Drosophila melanogaster: one gene and its partners. The protein of the gene in region 1 interacts with the protein of each later gene in a pairwise test. Each region holds a gene or a part of one and is shown in the gene's direction. Other genes may lie near its edges.

The links.
Region 2: the proteins of sip2 (region 1) and Septin2 interact in a two-hybrid assay, tested with the Drosophila melanogaster proteins (one study listed by BioGRID).
Region 3: the proteins of sip2 (region 1) and feo interact in a two-hybrid assay, tested with the Drosophila melanogaster proteins (one study listed by BioGRID).

What each region holds. Positions count from the first base shown.
Region 1 is NT_033779.5:6,960,974-6,965,641, reverse strand, and holds sip2 (septin interacting protein 2), read left to right. Parts: upstream 1-1,567; 5' UTR 1,568-1,703; intron 1,704-1,786; 5' UTR 1,787-1,824; coding exon 1,825-1,898; intron 1,899-1,965; exon of another isoform or gene 1,966-1,986; coding exon of another isoform or gene 1,987-2,009; exon of another isoform or gene 2,010-2,087; coding exon 2,088-3,747; intron 3,748-3,811; coding exon 3,812-4,051; 3' UTR 4,052-4,126; downstream 4,127-4,668. Other genes in the region: Coprox (coproporphyrinogen oxidase), read right to left, coding at 1-1,123; Hmgcl (3-Hydroxymethyl-3-methylglutaryl-CoA lyase), read right to left, coding at 4,169-4,668.
Region 2 is NT_033777.3:20,585,574-20,590,186, reverse strand, and holds Septin2 (septin 2), read left to right. Parts: upstream 1-1,830; 5' UTR 1,831-1,915; coding exon 1,916-2,063; exon of another isoform or gene 2,064-2,184; intron 2,185-2,191; exon of another isoform or gene 2,192-2,317; intron 2,318-2,729; coding exon 2,730-3,841; 3' UTR 3,842-4,058; downstream 4,059-4,613. Other genes in the region: Srp72 (signal recognition particle 72), read right to left, coding at 1-99, 162-1,189, 1,251-1,362. UniProt on the Drosophila melanogaster protein: Involved in cytokinesis.
Region 3 is NC_004354.4:10,851,891-10,856,776, reverse strand, and holds feo (fascetto), read left to right. Parts: upstream 1-1,907; 5' UTR 1,908-2,172; coding exon 2,173-4,188; 3' UTR 4,189-4,331; downstream 4,332-4,886. Other genes in the region: sofe (sister of feo), read left to right, coding at 1-1,329.

The sequences.
Region 1 (4,668 bases):
CGGACTGGGACTTGGGCTCGTGCATGTACTCCCAGCGGGCGTGCAGGGGCAGGGACATCAGGATGCTCTCGTACCGGGCTCCAGGCGTGTATAGACCGAACTTGGTGCCACGATCGTAGATCAAATTGAACTCCACGTAGCGCCCGCGGCGCAGCAATTGCCACTGTCGTTCGTTGTTGCCATACTCCCGATTTTTGTGCTTTCGTACCAGCGGCACGTAGGAGGGAATCACGGCCCTGGCGCAGCTTGACACAAAGTTGAAGGCCGCCTCCTGGTTGGGCGAATCGATGTCGTCGAAAAAGATTCCGCCAATGCCGCGGCTCTCGTTGCGATGCTTGATGCGGAAGTAGTCGTCGCACCACTTCTTAAAGCGCGGGTAGTAGGTGGGATCGTGCTCATCGCAGGCGGACTTCAGCGTCTGGTGGAAGTGGGAGGCGTCCTTCTCGCAGAGGTAATAGGGCGTCAGATCCGTGCCGCCACCAAACCACCACTGCTTCTCCCCCTTGGCAGTTTCCACTTCAAAATAACGATAGTTGAAGTGAATGGTGGGGACATGGGGATTCCTCGGATGGATCACGGCACTCACACCGCTGGCAAAGAACGGCAACGAGGCGCCCTCCTTCAGATTCTTGCCGCGAGCCCGCATCTGTTGTACTGCAGCCGGGGGCAACGAACCGGTGACCACGGATATATTGACGCCTGCCTTCTCGAACACATCGCCATCCTGCAGGACGCAAGTGATGCCGCCTCCGCCCTCAGGCCGCTCCCACCGGTCCACCTTGAACTTCTGGCCACAGTTCTCCTCCGCCTCCAGGGCGCGGCAAAACTCCGCCTGGATCTCCATGATCAGGATCTCCATGCGATGACGCATGTTCTCCTTGTCCCCCAGCAGTGCCTTGGAGTCGGTGATGGGCTCGGCCATGAACCGCGAGGTGTTCATCTGCACCCCGTTGACCTTTGGGTCGACAGCCTCCGCGGAATGTGCGTACGTGACCGCCGAAAAGCTGGCCAGGCCCAATCCCGTGCCGAGGAGAAAGCCTCTGGCGTGCGGCCCCCTGGTCCGGCGCACCAGTTGAAAGGTGCCCAGCGATACCAGGGATATCGTGTGACGGAGTGCGTTCATTATGTGCTCTCGCCTACTTCAAATTTTTAACTTAACTTAAGTACTTTCGCCGAACGCAGTTTGTTTGTTATCTTTCACTGACCCGGCATTTCTAGTTGCATAGTCGCCGGTGTGACCGTGATATCACCAAAATATACCGAAAATAGGGGGCTCGCGATTTTGTTCTATTTACAGAGATACAAGAAGTTGTAACGTTCTTATAAAAATATTATATATTGTTAAGAACACTAGCTAGCTCAATATGTCTGTATATATACACAAAATAATAATAATAAATAATATATGTTAAAAGTTACGGAGCAGTACAATTGCTTTTAATGGTAGACATATTTGTCTTAATTTTATATTATTATTTGTTATAAGTGATATAACTCCGATGATGTATATGTGTAGTGTCCATTGGAATACCCCATTCAAAAATATAAGCGCAATACGGGCACTCTGTCGTGGCATTTGAAATAAACGACTGCAAAGGCGCGTCGATCGTTGGCAAATGAGCGTGCTGTGAAGAAATCCATGAAATATTTGCGTGTGCGCCTTGAAGATTAAGGAAGATCTGCGTGAATACTATTGCCAGAAGGTAGGTGATCGACTGGAGCGAACTCTAAATCCTCTGAACTATAGTCAACGCGCAATTATACGTGTTTATCCCGTCGACTGGAGTTTTGCACCCAGGACACACGCACACTCGCACACTCACGATGTCTGGCCTCAAGAAATTCCAAAACACTGAGGAATGGCGTCAGAAACTCCGTCAGTTTCTAATGACCGAGCGGTAAATACACATTGAAACCCATCCTTGGATAGTGTTGCACTAGTGTTCGATGAATTTGTAGTCATTTACTTTCAAACAAGCCACCTGCATGTCAAAATTGTTAGAGAAACAGTACGCATAAATAGTTTGGACAGTTTAGACACACATACAATTTAGTTGAGAAAACTAATAACAGTTTTCCTTTTTCAGCTTGCCGAAAAAGCCCGTGAAAATGGACGAAACGAAGGATATGCGCTATAGTTTGGAGATCGACGAGGATTTGAGGAGACCCTTGGAGGCGCGGGCCAAGAAAGTTCTGGCCGTTAATTCTGCCAGTCAAAGGACTGTTAATCTCGGCGAGGATACTATGTACGAGGCAGGTGACTTGGAGCACTTGGACGATGGCGATGATAGCTTCAGTGCCTTTGAGCGCATGTGCGACAAAACCGGTTCCGATCCGGATAGCACTCTTTTCCAGTACCTGCACAGCGAGGACCGGAGTCAGGTGATGGCCAGGGCTAGGGATCATAGCACCGACGATCAGAAAGAGATCGATGCACTGCGTCGCATGCTAGAGGCAGTGGGTACAGAAGACGATCTATTGGAGAACGAAAGTCCCGTCAAGGGGGCGGAGTGCACTCACCTGGAGGACATTGAGGCGCCGTCGCGCTTTTGGGACAACACCCTGGCCGGAATGGACGAGACCTCATCCGACTCTGGGCTGACTCCTAAAGCATTGACCAAGGTTTCGCCTGTCAAAATGGTGGGGCTGCTTCGCCCCTCAACCATCATCGAAGACAGCGAACTGGAGTCGTCTGATGTGTCTTCACACACAAGCTTCCAAAGCGCTCGCACCCTAAAGACAAATGCATCTAGTTCTTACGAAACAGCCACGGATACTTCCCTCAGTGGAACGCTCCTAAACGTCGACGAATTGTTTTACGCCGCAATTGCCAAGGCCAAGCCACCAGGAATGTCCAAGGGAGAGGAGCTGGAGCTCTTAAGCGATCTTCATGGCAGTCTTAGAGAGCTGGCCTCACTTCCGAAGGATGAGGTCGAGGAGGAAGAGGACGATATAGAGGATACAATAATCGAGCTATCCTCTTCTGACGATGAAGAAGTGCAGCTAGTTCCAGAAGTAAAACAAGAAGACACGTCCCGTGTGTCCTCAGTCCACGGAAAAGATCACACTGAGCAGAAACCAGCGGAGAAGAGCGTTGAAAATAAGGAAAATTCGTTGCATTTCAATGATACCATGGAAGAAATGGAGTACATGATGCAAAAGGGTATGGAGTACATGGCAGGTGGGGCTCCTTCAGTCGCCGCAGTCAAGGCAGATTGCCCTGTGCTGCCCAAGACCAAACAAAGCACGTTCGTTGTTTCACCGAAGCCGGAACCAAAATCACCGGCTGTAGCCTTTTTGCAGCCATCAATTCCGCTGCGGTCATCTAATCAGCCACAAACAGTTGTAGGTTCATCTAGCACGGGTAGAAAGCCGCTCAATGTCGGCCTCACCATGGAGTGGACCAAAAAGAAATTTTTCAGTGCAGCCTCTGGTATTCCTCAGCGTCGCCAAAATCAGATAAAGCAGCCATACGCCAACATAGTCAGTCCCATACGCACCTACACCCAGAAGTCTGGTACTGCTCCGCTAATGAGTACATTCCGTCCAACGAGTTCTGATATGCTATCTACACTGGCCATCAGTGAGTTGGAGCAGGAGTCTCGCTTGTGTCATCCTAAAGCACTTTTCGCAACAAAGGACGAAACACCCAAGTCCAGTGAAGCGGAATCTTTAATTATCAATGGAATCGATTCAGCCGCTGATCTGCTTCCCAAAAAGGCTTACATATCTTCCGAAATCAAGCATGTAAGTTTAAATTTATATATAAGCCATGATGAGTGAACGTAAACTAATACCTTCCATTGAACAGGTGGTTGATGAACGAACTCCTTTGCCCATGCCGAAGGTACCTCAAATTCAAAAATACCTCAACTCCGCCGTGGAGCCTACTGTTATGCGCCACGATGGCAAAATGAAAATGCCCGGCGAGGCAGTCCGCAATCCGTCGTCTTCGCATATCCCACGACGCGCCAATCACAGCCTGGCTGATCTGTCGCTCGCCTCAGGCGACGTGTCCTTATACACAATAAGAGATGCCCAAAAGTTTTAAGGCCCATAAAAGTACTTCACGCTCCTTGACTAAATATTGCAACGATAATAAATGTATTGTGTAACTAGTGCTAGTAAATGCCTTCGTTTTCGTTTGATAGTATCAATGCTTGCATCATCACTTAACTCGCGCCTGCGGTCCCTTCCACGCTCGATTAACCTTGGACTCTGAGGTTCTGCCCAGTTCGGTGCAGATGTACCGCCCCACTTGGATCAGTTTGTCTAGGTTGACGCCAGTATCGAGGCCCATGCCGTGCAGTAAGTAGACCACATCCTCGGTGGCTGCGTTGCCTGACGCCCCCTTGGCGTAAGGACATCCGCCCAAGCCAGAAACGGAAGAGTCCACCACCCGAATGCCATAGTCCAGTGAGACCAGTATGTTGCTCAGAGCCTGACCATAAGTGTCGTGGCAGTGCACGGCCAGATCTTTAGCCGGGACGACCTTGGTCACCTCATCCAGCATTCGGCGCATTGTGCCTGGAGTGCCCACACCAATGGTGTCGCCCAATGAGATCTCATAGCAGCCCATTTGGTACAGGGCTTCCACCACTTTGACGACAGCACTCGGCGCAACAGCACCCTCGTACGGGCAGCCAACCACGGTGGAAACGTAGCCCC
Region 2 (4,613 bases), on another chromosome or scaffold:
CGTGCCTAGATAAAGGGATACTAGAGCGGAGACAACGCCAGGCTTGTACTTGGCTTCGCCCAATGACAGCAGTGTTTCAATTGCATCCTTGCGGTTGCCCTAAAGCAACGAAATACAAAAAATAAGATTCCATTTTCGACTTACGACTTATGGCAACTTACCTGAAGCAGCTGAAGTTGTATGATGGCAAATTTGCTGACGAATTCGTGCGACTTGTGGGCTGCAGCGAACTTTTGTAGCTGCTCGATGGCCTCCTTGTGCTTGCGATCTTTGGCCAGCTGGGTGCAGCGAATGAGCAGCGCCTCGAATTCCACCTGCGGGTAGGTCTGAGCTAGCTTTTGGCTAAGCTGTTGCACTTGGTCGCCGGCATTAGTGTAAAGTGCTAGCAGACAGTTGTTGAGGGCTATGACCTGCTTCTGGCGCGAGGTGAGCCTAGACTCACAGGCGTCGGCTAGGGCAGCGCGTATCTTCTTCTTGGAATCGAAGACGTTCTGGTCCTTATTGACCACCACCAAGTTGTTGCTTGCCACGGCCACCAGGGCTGCGTCCTTTGGCTTATGACGCAGGCAGTCCGCGTAGATGCTGGACGCCTCCTTGGTCTTGCCCTGCAGTTGGAGGACATAGGCCAGTTGGACGCGAATGACGTCTACCTCTTCAATGATCTCCTCCTCGGAGGCACACTCATCCTCAAGACAGAGCTTCTCGCTGGTGCGCAACTTGCGCTCGGCTTCAGCATACTTCTGCCGATTAGCCTGGATGCACGCGCTGTTGAAGTACTGCTCGTAGGTGTCTTCCGGCACCTCGGGCACCTCCTTGGTCTGATCCACAGCCAAGTTGGCGGCCACGGCGCTGAGATTGGTCCGACGCTCTTCCTCGTACTCGTCACTGGTGTTCTTAATGATGTCGCGATAGGAGTCTAGGCACTCATCGTAGCGCTCCAAGCGGTACAGGACCTGGGTTCGGAGCTCCTTAAGGTTCGGAGGCAGGGGCTGCAGACCCGCATCGTCTATGGTCTTAAGCGCTTGCTGCTGCTTGTTAAGTTGGTACTCGCAGTAGGCCTTCTCAAAGAAAAGCGAGGACAGTCGATTTTTCTCAATAAACTTGTAGGCCTCCTCGAACTTGGAAAGCTGCACCAGGCAGACTACCTTGCAGTGCAGGGCGGTGGGATCGTCGGGCGCTACGCCTAGGACTATGAGAGATCATAGGGAGTCATCTTCTGGATTATAACCTCGGTAATCTGAAAAACTTACTGCGATTCACTGCCTTGACAGCCTTGTCAAACTCCTGGTTATTGCCGAACTTATTCACATCAGCGTAAGCCGCCTTTATGAGCGCCTCCTTGGGATTAGCGTCCTTTGACATCCTGTTTGCTCAGCACGTTAGTGGGTGGTAATATATATTTTATTCACTGACTTAAACTTTCGACTTTCCGTTTAACATGCAAGTTTTTACAGCTGTAGACACATCAGCAATGCGGACCTGCCAGATCGCTTCTGTGTGCAACCAGAGATGCCAGATGGCGGAAACAGTTAAGACATTTAATTTTTTAAACTATTTACATTTAATTAATAACTTATGCATAAATATCTATGAATGGGACATTTTATTATTAGTTATTAAAAACTGAAACGCTAAATGATGTGTACTAAAATCTTAATCCATGAAGTGCATTTCACTGTTTGATTATCAATTTCGTTTCACTATTTGCCATTATGGCACATGTAATTCATTAAATAATTGTTTTTTAATTCTTTGTTAAGTTATAATTTTCTTGTTCATCTATATCCACACACTTCTTTGAGCCGCTGGTATTTTGGGCTCCGCGTATCTGGCCACACTTGCATATTCGCTGGCGACGCCTTTGATCCAAACTCTGCGCCCGGATTATTGGATTATTTGACTTGACTATTGGAAAATGTCCGTTGAGGTGGATTTCGTCGACAAGAAGGAGGTGCACCTCCGCACCCTGAAGCAGTCCGGTCACGTGGGATTCGACAGCTTGCCTGACCAACTGGTCAACAAGAGTGTCCAGAATGGATTCGTCTTCAACGTCATGTGTATAGGTGTGTATATGCGGGTGAACTTTGCGTGTGTGCGTGTGTATGCGGCACAGTGAATCAACCGAAGTTTTGCTTGCATACAAAACAGTGGTGACCAAAGCAATAGCACTGATTTTTTATATTCCATAAAGGAGTCACTTGGAGAAGGTTTCAAACTTTTGTTGCTTCTTAACTCAAAGATGGCTTTGTTTGCACACCAATTAGAAATTGGACATACAGTGGTAGCTCGATGCAGAGAGAATGAAATAAAAACCGAGGTGTGTGCTTTTTATTTGTTAAACTTTAATACGAGTAAAATCAGTAAAATCATATTAGAAATACAATTATTTATTGAAAGCAAAGACTATTGCACAGCACATCTTGAAATAAAGATGCTATTGTTTTGAACACCGCTGTGCTATGTACTCAAGTGTCTCATGTTGGAGTGCATTGCTCAGATAAAGTGAATCACTTAGGTACATAAAAGCGGGTAAACAATTGAAATAACCAGACGCCCAGATACGATTAGTATGCAAAGTGGCCGGCAATCGATTGCCTCCGCCACTTTCTACAATTTCACCCTGACACCAATGCCGCAGTGCTTCTATGGCCAATTGAGCTCACTTAGGCTAAGGTTCCCCAAATCTGGCACAAATCTGACCCGCATTTCGAAATCTTTACGCTCCGCAGGCGAAACCGGACTGGGCAAGTCGACGCTGATGGACACGCTGTTCAACACCAGCTTCGAGTCCACGCCGAGTCCCCACACTTTGCCGAGCGTCAAGTTGAAGGCACACACCTACGAGCTGCAGGAGAGCAATGTGCGACTCAAGCTCACCATCTGCGACACGGTTGGCTACGGCGATCAGATCAACAAGGACGACTCGTTCAAGGCGGTGGTGGACTACATCGACGCACAGTTCGAGAACTATCTGCAGGAGGAGCTGAAGATCAAGCGATCGCTGGTGACATGCCACGACAGCCGCATCCACATCTGCCTCTACTTTATTTGCCCCACTGGGCACGGCCTCAAATCGCTGGACCTGGTGTGCATGAAGAAGCTGGACAGCAAGGTGAACATAATTCCGGTGATTGCCAAGGCGGATACCATTTCCAAGGTTGAGCTACAGCGCTTCAAGGCGAAGATCATTCAGGAGCTAAACGCCAATGGAGTGCACATCTACCAGTTCCCCACCGACGATGAGACGGTGGCCGAGACCAACACCAGCATGAACTCGCACATTCCCTTCGCCGTGGTGGGCAGCACGGAGTTTATTAAGGTGGGCAACAAGCTCATCCGCGCTCGCCAGTACCCCTGGGGCACGGTGCAGGTGGAGAACGAGACGCACTGCGACTTTGTGAAGCTGCGCGAGATGCTCATTCGCACCAACATGGAGGATATGCGCGAAAAGACACACACGCGCCACTACGAGCTGTATCGCCAGAAGAGGCTGGAGCAAATGGGCTTCAGCGATGTGGACAGCGACAACAAGCCCATCTCGTTCCAGCAGACGTTCGAGGCAAAGCGCTCCAACCATTTGGCCGAGCTGCAGTCCAAGGAGGAGGAGGTTCGTCAGATGTTCGTGCAGCGCGTTAAGGAGAAGGAGGCCGAGCTGAAGGAGAGCGAGAAGGACCTGCACGCCAAGTTCGAGAAGCTAAAGCGGGATCACGCCGAGGAGAAGCGCAAGCTGGAAGAGTCGCGCAAGGCGCTCGAGGAGGACTACCTTGACTTCCAGCGGCGCAAGCAGCAGTTGGCCACCGCCCACCACACGCTCACCCTCGGCAAGAGCAAGAAGAAGTAGAATCCGGCGCCGCCGCCTCACAATGTATTGAGAATTCTGTGCGGTTCGCTTATCCCAAAGTAATTATTGCTTTCTCATCTCGTTGTCTTTCATTTGTACTATTAAGTTTACTTCAAATATTAACATATACACAACTACACGCATATGTACGCAGGCATATAATGATTATGTATTTACAACTAACGAATAAATCGAACTTAGTATTTTAACAAAGTAGAAAAGAGCTGTTTGCCGGAAACTTGTATTCAAAAAATTGTAAACTTTTGTCGATATAATGTGTTTTTAAGTGTGTATTGAAGGCACCGCTGGATAAAGACAACAAAATAACATTTTATCTAAGATTATCCTGGTTTCCTTAGAAGTCACTGATTGATATGTATCAATACATATTAAGTTTATATTTTCCTTGAATTTCTTTTAAGCTCCGCTTTTTAAATACAAAAACATGGTAATTTGAATTTCAAGATTGGCGGGCTTTTCGTAGGACGTAAGTGTAGTACGGCCTTATTTTACTTGTCTTGTGCTTGCCACCTGGTCACACTGTTACCCACTCATTCACTGCAGGCTGCAAAAATTATAGAACAAATTAAAAACGCAATAATAGAATCACCGCAGCGAATTCGACGCAATCACGGAGTCCAGTGCTCCGTAACCCAAACGAAAGCAATTAACCGTGTTCAACGTAGAGAATAGTCCATGAAAGTGGGTGTATCCGTTGGCAAAAAGCAAGATACCCCTTTGTGTTTGTTTTTTGTTCGTTATAATTTTGTTT
Region 3 (4,886 bases), on another chromosome or scaffold:
CAGCGAGTGCAGCGCCTCAGGGATATGGACGAGCTGCGCCAGAACATCAAACGAAACATAAAACTACTCGAACTTCAATTGCGAACGGACTCGGAAAAGCGGTTACTCAATGCGGATAACCATAAGCTTACTCCCTACGCCTACGTGCGCCTGCAAGAAATGGACAAAGAGTTCGCCGACCAGGTGCAGGATCTAATCGACCGCATCGACGAGATGCGCGGCAAGATTGAATGCCTCTGGCAGCGGCTCAGGATGACCGACGAATACGCCATGCGTCGTGTGCGCGAAGCCACGTCCTATAACCAGTGCACCTACGACATATTGCGCGAGGAGCTGGAGCGCTGCCAGGCGATGCGGCAGCAGAATCTGATTGCCTTCATCGAGCAGCTGCGCATTGAGATCAACGAGTGGTGGGATCTTTCACTGAAAAGCACCGAGGAGCGCAGGCGCTTCACCACCTACTACTGTGATACGCAGACCGAAGATGTTCTCGAGCAGTTCGAGAAGGAGCTGGACAACCTTAAGGAGTTCTACAACAGCAACAGGAAGATATTTGAGCTATACGCGAATCGAGGCGAGCTATGGACGCGCATGGAGGCCCTGGAGGCCAAGGCCAACGATCCAAATCGGTTCAACAATCGCGGTGGACAGCTGCTCAAGGAGGAGAAGGAGCGCAAGACTATCATGTCCCGTCTGCCCAAGATCGATCAACAAATCACCGAACTGGTGCAGGTCTACATGAGTGAAACGCACACGCCGTTCCTGGTGCACGGCGTGGATATACTGGAGCGCATGTCGGCGGACTGGGAGCGGCATCGACAGTCCAAAAAGCAGCCCTCCGCCCAGAAGAAGGATGGCAGCAATACGAGCGGCCAAATGAAGCCGCCAATGGTGCCTCTTACGCCCAATACGCAGAAGAGCAACCGGGGCATCCATGGATCCACATCCTCGTTGAAGAAGACGCCGACCAAGGCAAATGCCAGCACCACGGCAATGAGCACAGGGAATCTGCACAAGAGACGGCATCCACAGCATCACAACACCAATAGTCCACAGCCGGCAGCAGCGGCCAAGCGAAATCTAATCGCATCGCTGGAGTGCAACAATGCAAGTCGCAAGGTCTGTGTGAATGGGCAGAAGCTGCTCAAGTCGCCGCAGAGGAAGGTGCGCGTGCTGGAATACTCGGTGCGTCGGGGCAAGGGATCCGGCAGGCCGAGCACAGGGAGCAGGAATCCCCAGAAAATTCGTCCCATACCAAAAATCCATGTGCGTCCGCCGTCCGGCGAGGAGAACGAGAGTCCCGACGAGGAGGCGGTCGTGGCCATATAATGGAGCTAGACTCTAATCACATCCAATGGCAATCATTTCGGCAACTGATCTGTGTTCTATATCTATTACCTGTACTGAAGTATTTGGCTCGCAATTGCAGACTCATCGTATTTATATGTATACACATATGTATAGTGTTAGGGCTTTTCCTAGCGCAAAGACTATCTAAATTTACAACTTTAAAATTCTTTTAACTATTTTGCACTACCTGTGACGGCAAGAAGTAAATGAACAATTGTCCACATTTTAAATTTTTAGTCAGATAAAAACGCTTGTTTACATTATAAATTACTTGATTTCAATTTTACCAAAATATACATGTGTGGGAAGGGTTTTCTAAAGTCTGTGGGATGTTTACTAAGCGCATATAAGAGAATATAATACGTTTTTAAGGAGCAAAATAATTAAAATAGATATTTTAATTTGCTAATAAACCAAATAACGAATTTTAAATATTCAAAAAAGTGGCGTATGCTCCAGCCCTGGTTTTACCAGAAGTTACCGCCGCGTGGCAATGCTGTCCCACAACGCGGTGGCAACACTCTTGGCCGCCATTTCAATTTGAATTTACCGAAATTTCTGTCTAGCGTCATCGATTCATTCAGTTCGAAATTTCGTGCAGTGATGCACTCTAAATAAACCACTAAATAAATCCGCACATTCCCGAGCAATCCTGCCCAGCGTTGTGGGTCTGCGACACAACTGTCAAGTTAACTCAGATATGCTGGTTAAATAGTCCCCAAGTGAACACAACGAAAAAACAAAGCCAGTGAGCATTTACGCAAGAAAAGAAATTTTGAACAAAAAAAAAAAAACACAAATTTCACAACGAAAACGGAGAAAATGAACTCGCCGAGCGCCATTGCGGTGAAGGCCCAGATCCTGGAGATGACGGGCGAGCACGTGGATCAGTTGCACGCGATGTGGTCGCAGTTGTTCGAGGTCAAGACCTGCGGTGAGTTCCTCCTCCGGTTGAAGGACCATGCGAACAGCTTCTTCACGGATTTGCTCAATGAGTCGCGCGAAAAGCAGCAGGCGATCCTCAACGATATAGCCGCCTTGCGGGCAGAGGCCACCGACTTGACGCGCCTACTCCACGAGCCGCTGGACATTGGCGAGCGGCCGGAGTCCATGCCGCTGGTCGTCTGGGAGCTGAAGCTGGACAAAAGCATCGAGCACTTACGCGATCAGCTGGCCAGGCGGCGAGCGGAGATCTGTGAGCTTCTGCTGCAGCAGGAGCAGCTGTGCGAGGAACTGGGAGAGCTGCCTCTGCCACTGTTGGCGGATCCACTGCCGCTGCCCGAGGAGATGGACGCCTTTCGGAATCGCCTGGGCCAGCTACGCGATCAGCGAGTGCTGCGCCTCAAAGAGATGGACCAGCTGCGCCAGGCCATTAAGCACGACATGAAGCTGCTTGAGTGCCTGCCCCAGACGGACACCGAGGAGCGTCTGCTCAACCAGGTGGATCACTGCCTAACGCCGGAGACCTTCGAGCTCCTGCGCAACATGCAAAAGAACTTCGCCGACCAGGTGAAGGAGCTGAGGGAGCGCATCGACGATATGCGCGAAAAGATCCATGTGCTGTGGGACAGACTCCAGGAGACAGACGAGTATGCCATGCGTCGCGTGCGCGAGGCTACGACCTACACTCAACGCACCTACGATGTCCTGCGGGAGGAACTGCAGCGCTGCCAGGCCCTGCGACGCCAGAATCTGAAAACCTTCATCGAGCAGCTACGCATCGAGATCAAGGAGATGTGGGATCTCACACTTAAGAGCCAGCAGGAGCGCAAGCGCTTCTCGAACTACTACAACGACTGGTACAACGAAGATCTGCTGGAGCTCCACGAACTTGAGCTGGACGACCTCAAGACCTTCTACAACAAGAACAAGGAGATCTTCGATCTGTACGAAAGCCGTGCCGAACTCTGGTCGCGCATGGAGGCGCTGGAGGCCAAGGCGAGCGAGCCGAATCGCTTCAACAATCGTGGCGGCCAGTTGCTCAAGGAGGAGAAGGAGCGCAAGGCCATCACCTCCAAGCTGCCCAAGATTGAGCAGCAGATCACGGAACTGGTGCAGGCATACGAGGCGCAGGAGAACACACCCTTTCTGGTGCACGGCGAGAACATCCTGGAGCGGATGGCCGCCGATTGGGAGCGTCATCGCCAGGCCAAACAGCAGAGCTCGGCGCGCAAGAAGGCACCGCCATCGGCCAGCAAGATAATGCCACCGCCGGCAACGGGCTCGACAGCTCCACGCACGCCGCGCACGCTGCGCAACATGTCGACCCTTTCCAGCTCCACCATGTCGCTGCGCAAGACGCCGTCGCAGCAGCACCTCCGTCCACTAAACATCACCAAGAGTACGGGCAATCTGCACAAGCGCCTGAATCCGTCCGGCCTGCAGACGGGCCCCAAAACGCCCAACGCCAAGCGCAGCCTTATGAACACACTCAACTCGATGAAGGCGTCGCCAGCCAAGCACCTGCTCGCGCCCAGCCAGCAGCATAACCAGCTGAAGAGCACCAAGTCGCCGCTGAAACGTGTTCGCGTACTGGACAACACACTGCGACGCAGCGGCGGTATGGGCAGGCGCAGCATTGGAACGCGTTCCAGCAAGAAGGCGCGCACCAAGTCCAACGATCAGAACGCCCCACCCGACAGCAGTGACTACACAACGGACGAGAATCCCGAGCAGGGTGTCAGCTATGACGAATTTCAGCCGACCAGTCGCTCCTCGATGCTGCCGCGCCAGCGTCATCAATTGGCCGTGCCGCGAACTCGTCGTGCGGAAATGAATGCCAATCTGCCGGTGCCGCGGGAAAGCCTGATGATCGTGCAGCCGCGCAGACAGTTCTAGTTCCACTGGAGATTGACTAGCTTAACGCGTACCTACTACACTATTTCATAACAGTTGGAGTTTCTTGATGTATTTTAATTTTTTATTTTCTGTTTTACGTTTTCAGAATAAAATTTATGTGAGTTTTTTCGCTTGACCACAAGACTCGAGTGTATTTCACATTTCTTTCAGCATAATTCGTGTGTAAATTTCAGGAATTGGTTGTACATTTGTTAATAATTTTTTGCTAGTTTTCCACCAAAAAGAAATAGCTGTACATTTCGATGTTTTACTATGCTTTCACGATTTATTTGATCATCAACTAAATTTGTTAATTGTTAGAGGGATGGGGAGCTATTTGCACTTTAATTTTAATATACTAATATACAACTAAATTTGTCAATTGTTAGAGGGAGGGGGTGCTATTTGGACTTCAATTTTAATATACTAATATACAATTCAATTTGTCAATTGTTTGAGGGAGGGGGAGCTATGTGCAATTTAATTTTAATATACTAATATACAATCGCACTGATGCAAGCTTTATAAAAAGATTCCAACCGCCTACACTGTAGTAGAGCAGTTCTTATTTGACTATTAAATACATATTAACACATTAAAATGGGCGGCACGTGTGGTGCCTGCGCCAGTGATGAACCCTTCAATTGGCCAGAGCCCGGTGCGGTGCAACAGCTCCTCCCAATTCGGATACCGTTTAT